Schizosaccharomyces pombe: one gene and its partner. The protein of the gene in region 1 purifies or fractionates together with the protein of each later gene. This does not show direct contact. Each region holds a gene or a part of one and is shown on either strand. Other genes may lie near its edges.

Region 1 (4,366 bases):
AATACTATCGTATGAAGTGAACCAGCTATTTCAACGGATATGAGAGTTATATTGTTAAATCTTTATGACAAATGTGTTCTTAAAACTTGCTATGCCTTTGAACACAGGATAAAAACTTATAAAAAATATGACCCCTAAGTGACTTGAACACTTGACTTTGAGATTTGGAATCTCACACTCTACCAACTGAGTTAAGGGGCCTTCGCTTGATCTCATAAATATTTAATATTATAGATATTAAAAAAAAGAATGTACAGCATAAGTTGTAATAATGAAAGTCGAATTGGTAAAGTCAAAACTGCTTAAGTAGTCAGTTGAAAAAATTAGCTTTTCTTTCAGCTTAACCTAGAAAGCCTTGGTGTAATTAATGAAGACACAAACGAGAAAGTTGCTTCAAATTACAACATTAATGGATTTTGCGAATCCTTACACTCTCCATGTAGCACTACATGCTGAAAAAATAACAAATGGTTTTGGAGCAGTTATAACAATGGAGTACAAAAAAATTTTCTAAAATAGTTAAAATTAGTCAGTTTAAAAACCCTTATTTTTTCTTAACTCGTCAAGTACACCAGCAATCTAATTTCGCGCGTAAAAATTTGTTTCACAATCTGAAAAAAAAGGTACCAAAAGACCAATCATCAAGGCAAGTGTACAGCTTTAAACCATTCATGATATTGCTACAAAATACTAAAAGTTATTTCAAAAATTTTTCAGAGGCAACCATTTCAAATATAAAAAGTATAAAGAGGAAAAGAAAACAAACGATAAGTAAATGAAACCTAATTTTATTCTTTTAAATAGCAAAAGCAGAGGAACAAAACGTAAGGATCCTTTCCAATTTAGCATAGATTTATGAGACATACCATGGGACGATCACTACGCAGATACAACCCCAAAAAAGGAAATTTTAGCATTCTACCAAACCCAATGCAATTAGGGATAATAGAGCCTGAACAATGTCAAGCATTAAAAAGTATAACATATGAAAGCTCTCAGAAACGGGTAAGGTGGTTAAGACAATCCGAGGGATTAGACTGAATACATGGGTGAAAATAAGGGAACGATTTATGGAAGAAAAAAGAAAATTTTTTATATACGTAGACCTTTATCCAATTTCAAGAAATTTTTATATAATTAAAAGAAACTTAATCTCGAGGCTTGGAGAATTCACATCGTAAAATCAAATTGTTCCAACCGTAACCATCCAAGCGATCACGAGCCTTGATAGCACAATCTCTATCGTAATAACTGACAAAGGCAAAACCTTTAGCACGACCAGTTTCCTTATCCTTTGCCAAATATACACGTTGAATACCACCAAAGCGACGGAACAAATCACGAAGTTCCTCTTCACGGGTATCATCAGATAAGTTAGTGACACGAAGAGTGGCACTATCATCACGTTCACGTTTGAACATAGAATCACCACTCTCACGCCCTGAGCCAGCACGAAGATGAGGAGCTATATAACGACCCTTTTCGCCCAAGGCACCACTAGCCCTTGAAGAAACAGGACTAGCATCCAAGGGAGGCTCATCAACAGGTCCAATAATGCTCTTGTAAGGACATTGAGCGGTAAAATGGTTACCCTTACAAGCACGACAACGAACCACAGAGCTACCCTTTGCCTTAACCTTAGCGGCAGCCAAAGCAGCCTCATCTTGCTCCTCTTCCTTCGTAGTAGTCCAACCAAGTTGAAGTCTTAACTGAACATTTTCGCCAACACTAGTGGTTCTAGCATCAACACCACTGTTCTTGCCTGCTTCCTTTCCGAATTTTTTCCATTTCTTACGCTCCGCCACAGCGTGTTGCACCCGCTCCGTAATAACGGTTTTCCGTATAACTCTGGTAACCTTCACCTTTTTGCCATTATCATCAATGCGAAATTCAATCATGGTTTTTGTGCCATCGGGATTATCAAACGTCTGAATCGAAGGCAATCCAGTACCATAGTCCTCATCGTCAGCCCAATCCAGTGATTTCCTACTTTGTTAGTTTCTTTCACAAAAAAATATATTACATACGATGAACTCATTTTATAGACAAAAGATGTTTGAAGAGGGTGAGCCCTTCATCACCAGAAAATTTGTTGTAGTGTTGAATTAACATACATTAGTAGAAGTTTGATATACCAACATAGCAGTCTACGTTGCAGTACACTACTTGAACTTTTCTTAAAAAGGAGATGATACCTTGCGACTAAATTAGTTTAAGCTTTCTGTTGCTACTATTAGAAAAAGCGGATGAAATTGTGGATTTCAAATTGAAGGGATCGTTAATAACCAGGACAAACTTCGCACCGGTCATCTCAATTCAATCGTCAGTTGAAGCCATAATCTGCAGATCTCTATTACCGATCACTATAAATAGCCAGGTTTTGCAATACCATCATCTTCTATTATTCTGTACAAAGCTCTTTAAAAAATTTCTCAATTCCCGTTAATATAGATATTATCAAAATACAAAATAAAAAAATAAAAACCCAGCATCATTGAACTGGGTATAAGAACATCTAGCTAAAACACTATAATCATACCCGGATGGGAATTTGGTGCATTCATAAATCTAGCATTCATGATTAAATAAGGACAAATGTTTTGTTGTAATAAGAGAAAATGCTCTGAAAAAAAGAAAAGGAATTCCCAAAGGACTTAACAAATCTAAGTTAAAGTCCTTAGCACCAACCAAGGCGGCTGATTACTTATAGCGTTGCAAATTTGAGGTGTCATACCAACTAAAGGAGAATGTCGAGGTAAATATATAAAAGACTAAAGGCAAATATCCTGCAAACATTTTATCTAAATGACTTTACTCGGCGTAAGCGGCGTCAATTTCCTTCTTGAAACGATCCAAAATTTTGCGACGCTGTAATTTCTGAGCTGCAGTCACCAATCCATTTTCGGGTGTAAACTCAATGGGAACAAGGACGACGTTTTGAATAAGTTCGATATTAGCGAAATGATGACTACGACCAATACGAATAAGGTCGTCATAAACAAGTTGACGAACTTTCTTGTTATGACAAACTTCCTCCCAAGAGGCATCAGGACTAAGACCGGCTTGTTCAGTGGCAAGTTTACGAACGACGGGCTCGTTGGGAACGATGATTGCCAAAGGCTTCACCTTGGTCTGATCTGCATATACACAGATATTCGAAACAAGACTGCTCGTACGATAGCGAGATTCAAGCTTCTCCAGTGCAATATACTCGCCATTTTGAGTTTTGACGAGGTTTTTCTTACGATCAATAATTCTAAGCAATCCTTCTGGAGTCAATTCGCCAACATCACCAGTACGGAACCAACCATCTGGAGTAAAGCTTTCTTTATTTTCTTTATCACGGTTAAGATATCCCCGAGTCAAAGAGGGACCACGAAGCCAGATTTCACCACGAGGAGGGTGTCCGTGAGAGTTGTAGTTGCCCTCTTCACAGTCAACTAACTTCATCTCAGTACAAGGCAAAAGAGATCCAGCTGAATCGTCCAAATTGAAACAAGCAGGGTTCTGAACCATAGCAGCTGCACTAATTTCGGTCAAACCATAACCGATTAACATAGGACAGAGAACGATAGAAAGGAAGCGCTTGGTGTCAGGAGATAAGGCAGAACCACCAGATAAAGTGTATCTTAAACGACCACCGGTTCCCATAGATCTAATTTTATTGAATACAGCGGTATCCAATACGCAAGAACCGGGAAGATTGTGACGCATCAACTTTGCTTTAGTGTAATAAGCAGTCCAAAAAACTGAACGCTTAACAGCAGAGGCAGCGTTTAATTTACTCATGATACCCTTACGTACCATTTCCCATACAGCGGGAACACCAACCATGATAGTGGGACGGAAGGTATTGATATCACCCTTGCAGTTTCTGCAATTAGTATCGACCAAAGTACGGACGTTGGCATAGCCAATGGTACCACCCCAAGCCAAACAAATGTTTTCAAACGCAAATTCGAGAATGTGTGCCAATGGAAGGTAGGCCAAAAGATAATCTTTAGAGGTAACTTCAGGAACGTGCTTGACAATAGCAGTGACAATTGCAACCATGTTCTTGTGACTCAAAATTACACCCTTAGGTAAACCGGTACTACCAGAAGTGTACATAATACAGCAGATCTCTTCAGGTGAAGGTGGATCAGGCTCAACGGGAGGAGACATTTTCTCAAAATCAGCAAATTTAATCAATTTGAGGTTAGGACGAATCTCCTGAATTGTCTTTATGTCCTCCTCCTTGGCATCGTTGCGGTAGATGATTACTTCAAGTGATTCAATTTCCTTCAAGGGATTGACCAAAGTTTTTAAGAGATGTCCTTCTGTATACATTCCTCGGACACCGGATTCGCGCAAAGAATGGAGCAAA
Region 2 (4,274 bases), on another chromosome or scaffold:
CTGCGGGGTCATAGTCTTCGTATATATAGTGTTTTATATGAACCAGAAAGGAATATTTGCATAAGCGGTAGCATGGATAAGTCCATTAGGGTTTGGGATTTATCGACAGGGACTTGTAAATATGTGCTTGAAGGCCATGATGCCTTTGTTACGCTTCTTAATGTATTCCAGAATAGGTTGATATCAGGTTCTGCTGACTCCACAATTAGAATATGGGATTTGAATACTGGGAAACCATTAATGGTTTTGCCGTCTAATTCAGGCTACATTAGTAGCTTTGTGTCAGATGAACACAAAATTATTAGTGGTAATGATGGTTCTGTAAAGTTATGGGATGTTAGGACTGGAAAGCTGTTACGTTTTCTATTAACAGACCTCACAAAAATATGGCATGTCGATTTTGATGCTATGCGTTGTGTGGCTGCAGTGCAGCGTGATGATCAAGCATATTTGGAAGTTATTAATTTTTCCGGATCAAGACCGTAGAAAGTTTCATTTTAACAATATTTAAGAAGACATAATTAGAGTAGTGTCTAACTATTTACATCAGCTACTAACACATATTAAATGTATACAATGTAAAATTAACAGCCAAAGCCTATCAAAAGTAAATAAGTAACGAAGGATTGAATAAATTATGCTGGTTGGTTTTGTAACTGGTATTGAATTAACATTGGGAAAAACTTCCAGATAGAAAAATCCGGCCAGTAGAAATCGATGAATTTTATCTCCGTATTTTTGTGACACTGATAAAATTAGTTGAATATCTTTGACTAGAAAATTAGGAGAATTTTTACTTACCTGCCATAACATAAAATCAGATAGACGCTCCACACCGCTAGTGCGAATCAACAAGTCTAAAGGAAGACTATCTTTTATCAATAGGTTTTTTTCAAATATATCTTCATCTATATCTTCTGGAGTGATTGTACCATCTTCTGCCATTTTTACTATTGATTGCACAGAAGTAGCAATTTCATGTCGAGAAGTGTATGGAAAGCAAACATTTAATGTTGCCCTAAGATGTCAATTAGCAAAATAAAAATTTGAAAAATTTCACATACTTTGTGTTATGTTTTGTAATTTCCACAGCCTTTAGAGCAGTTTCTAAAACGTCAGGTTGCAACCTGCTAAGATCGCCAACAATGCGAATACGGATCCCATACTGATCAACCAAATCACCATGAGCAGTAATTTGCGTTAAGCTGTTTTTTGCAATCTCCATTAACATATCAACTTCATATTTAGATCGCTTAAAATTTTCAATGGAGAATGTGAAAGCCGATACTTCTTTAACTCCTAACTTCAGACACACTTTTAATAGCTTACGCAGGGTTAGTTAATGTACCAAATTGTGCAGAACGTAGACGGATACCAATGCGCAAAACATGGAGAAACGGTACGTTTAACCTTCTATTAATGTTCTTTAAACTTACAGATTTTAAAGCTTCAAAACCTGAGCTATGACCCTCGATAGTTTCCATCCTTCTTTGACGAGCCCACCGTCGATTGCCATCCATTACAAAGGCTATGTGTTGTGGTACTTTGCCACGTTTAATTGTATTTATCATCATCGTTTCTAATTGATCAAGTGTCCATTGTAATGGAGGACAGTGAATAAACCAGCCTGATAAATTACCCATATTGTCAAGATATTTTGTCAATTCTTTTCTTTTCCTTTATAAATGCACGCTAAATATCAAAGAGAAATAATTATCTTGATAAACAATTATTTTCAAAAAACGATTAGATGTTTTTGACGCTTCTATAAAACACTCAGGTTATCCGGTTCTAGATATGTTTTATAAGTATAATTACCAAGCACGCTAGAAAAGGATTTTTAGCTAAGGAAATATACTTTCAATCGTAAACGAATGGAACAAAGAGACGCTAGTTTAAGACCAAACGCTTTTGTATTTTTTTTTAAAAATCACGAAAGAAATATTATTTTTTGTACAAATAAGTAAGACAGACAAAATTCAAACAAAACCACAAAATACTGTTTTCAAAGTGAGACGTGCGACCTTTGGGTCTAACTAGTCTAACGCAAGTGTCTCAGAAATGAAGCCAGTTCATTTAAGAGTGTCGTTAAGCCTCCTTATTTTTAATACCATCCTTAAGTTACGCTAATTAGAATCAAAATATTACAACTAAAGACTTTTCGCTCAAACCCTCTACCAGCACTTTCCTGTTCAAAAGATGAGGCCTATCATTTTACAGGGTCATGAGCGTCCTTTGACTCAAATAAAATATAATCACGATGTAGGTTTAATAACCGTCCATTATATGTGGAAAATTTACTAATTTTTGTGTGTAGGGTGATTTATTATTCTCATGTGCCAAGGATAAAGTGATTAATGTCTGGTTTTCACACAATGGTGAACGCCTAGGTACATATGAGGGTCATACTGGTGCAATTTGGACTTGTGATATTAATAGTACGTGAAAATTGGTGGTGATGTATGTTGGATTAAGACATCTAAAGGTATACGGATTATGGAAGTATAAGGAAACACGAATAATGAAACATATCATGACTCTAATAAATGTATTTTTTTTATTAGTCGTCCGATTGCAGATGGTTATACTCGTGATCCACGATTCTGAGTTGGCGTAGTACTTAAAGTTAAATATGCATGGTGCATCTCCTTTACTTATATTAATGCTACGTTTACCTCACTTCACTTCCTCGTGGAAAGCATTTAAACTTCTTTTAAATCCTTTTCCTTCTTCTTGATGCCTCAAATCCAACTAGATCATCTGTTCCTTTTCCAATGGTTACTAACTGAAACAGAAAGTAGCACTTTAATGGTTAGTGGAGCCGCTGACAATACCATGCGTCTTTGGGATGTTAAAACAGGAAAGCAGTTGTACAAGTGGGAATTTCCTACTGCTGTCAAACGTGTTGAGTTCAACGAAGATGATACCCGTATTCTTGCTGTTACCGAGGAACGTATGGGTTATGCTGGTACCGTCACTGTTTTCCGTGTTCCTATTTCGGAAAGCGATGCCGCTGCTGAAACCCCCCTTTACGTTATTACTACTCGTGAATCTAAAGCAACGGTCGCTGGATGGTCTTACTTGAGCAAGTTTCTCTTTACTGGTCATGAAGATGGCTCCGTTTCCAGATACGATGCTATAACCGGAGAATTCGTTGAATCTAAACAAGTTCATAATTCTGGTTCTACTATTACTGATCTTCAGTTTTATCCTGATCGTACTTACTTCATCACTTCTTGCAAGGATACGACTGCTAAAGCTATTGATGTTGATTCTTTTGAAGTCATCAAAACATACCTTACTGATACGCCTCTTAATACTTCTAGTTTTACTCCTGTCCAAGACTTCGTTATTTTAGGAGGTGGTCAAGAAGCCCGTGATGTTACTACTACTGCTGCTAGACAGGGTAAATTTGAAGCACGTTTTTATCATGCGATTTTAGAAGAAGAGTTAGGCCGCGTTAAGGGTCATTTCGGTCCTATCAACACAATAGCTGTCCATCCCAAAGGAACCGGTTATGCTAGTGGTGGAGAAGATGGTTATGTTCGGGTGCACTTCTTCGATAAAAACTACTTTGACTTCAAGTATACATTGTAGGTTAATTTTATTCAAAAAACTGTTGATAGTATAGTAATGGACAACGGAACTTTTTTCCAAAGATGTATCATTTTCGTTTAGGGAGCATTATATGAAAAATAACCTTCTATGAGTACAAGAGTTTTTTAATAAATTCCATTCAAAATTCAAATGTTTTAAAGTGAAAAGTAATGTAATTGTCATATTCCGTAAAGCAACTAACTTATCAAACGCTTCTTTTAACGAGCTTTTGAAACATGTTTGAGGAGAACAGCCCCAGAAATTATAATTGCTCCAAACCATATGTAGTTGTCTATCTTGCTGTAGGCTGGAGTCGTTATTTCTCGATAACTAGGTGTTTTTTTTGGGAAGTATCCCAAAAGTCGGTTGATGAGATTTTCGTCGAGCATGGCAAGTTCCTCCAAAGACCACAGTTCGCAAATCTCAATCATCCATCTCATTCTTTTGCGACTGTTTTCAGGTTCGGGAACAATGTCTCGTAATTTTTGTCGTAAAAGGCCAGTTTTTTCCAATGCCATACCAGTAGCTGGATTGATTGAACTTTCGATTTTTTTTCGTATTAAACTGGCAAGTTTTGGACCTTTACCATTGGTGCTAACCATAATTTGTAGAGGGCCGTTACGGATTTCAGACCCAAAGTAGAAATCACATTCAGGTGGAATATCCGCCGCATTGAC

Evidence for each region.
Region 2: the proteins of tif307 (region 1) and sum1 purify together in Schizosaccharomyces pombe (affinity purification with western blotting, with the first as the bait; one study listed by BioGRID). This does not show direct contact.

What each region holds. Positions count from the first base shown.
Region 1 is NC_003423.3:1,770,695-1,775,060, reverse strand, and holds tif307 (translation initiation factor eIF3g), read right to left. Parts: upstream 2,059-4,366; 5' UTR 2,039-2,058; coding exon 2,028-2,038; exon of another isoform or gene 1,987-2,027; coding exon 1,149-1,986; 3' UTR 514-1,148; downstream 1-513. Other genes in the region: long-chain-fatty-acid-CoA ligase Lcf1, read right to left, coding at 2,812-4,366.
Region 2 is NC_003424.3:5,356,757-5,361,030, forward strand, and holds sum1 (translation initiation factor eIF3i), read left to right. Parts: upstream 1-2,167; 5' UTR 2,168-2,199; coding exon 2,200-2,262; exon of another isoform or gene 2,263-2,317; coding exon 2,318-2,438; exon of another isoform or gene 2,439-2,794; coding exon 2,795-3,597; 3' UTR 3,598-3,748; downstream 3,749-4,274. Other genes in the region: F-box/WD repeat protein Pop2, read left to right, coding at 1-486; rer2 (cis-prenyltransferase), read right to left, coding at 636-746, 802-1,018, 1,065-1,324, 1,437-1,643; met8 (siroheme synthase), read right to left, coding at 3,816-4,274. UniProt on the Schizosaccharomyces pombe protein: Component of the eukaryotic translation initiation factor 3 (eIF-3) complex, which is involved in protein synthesis of a specialized repertoire of mRNAs and, together with other initiation factors, stimulates binding of mRNA and methionyl-tRNAi to the 40S ribosome.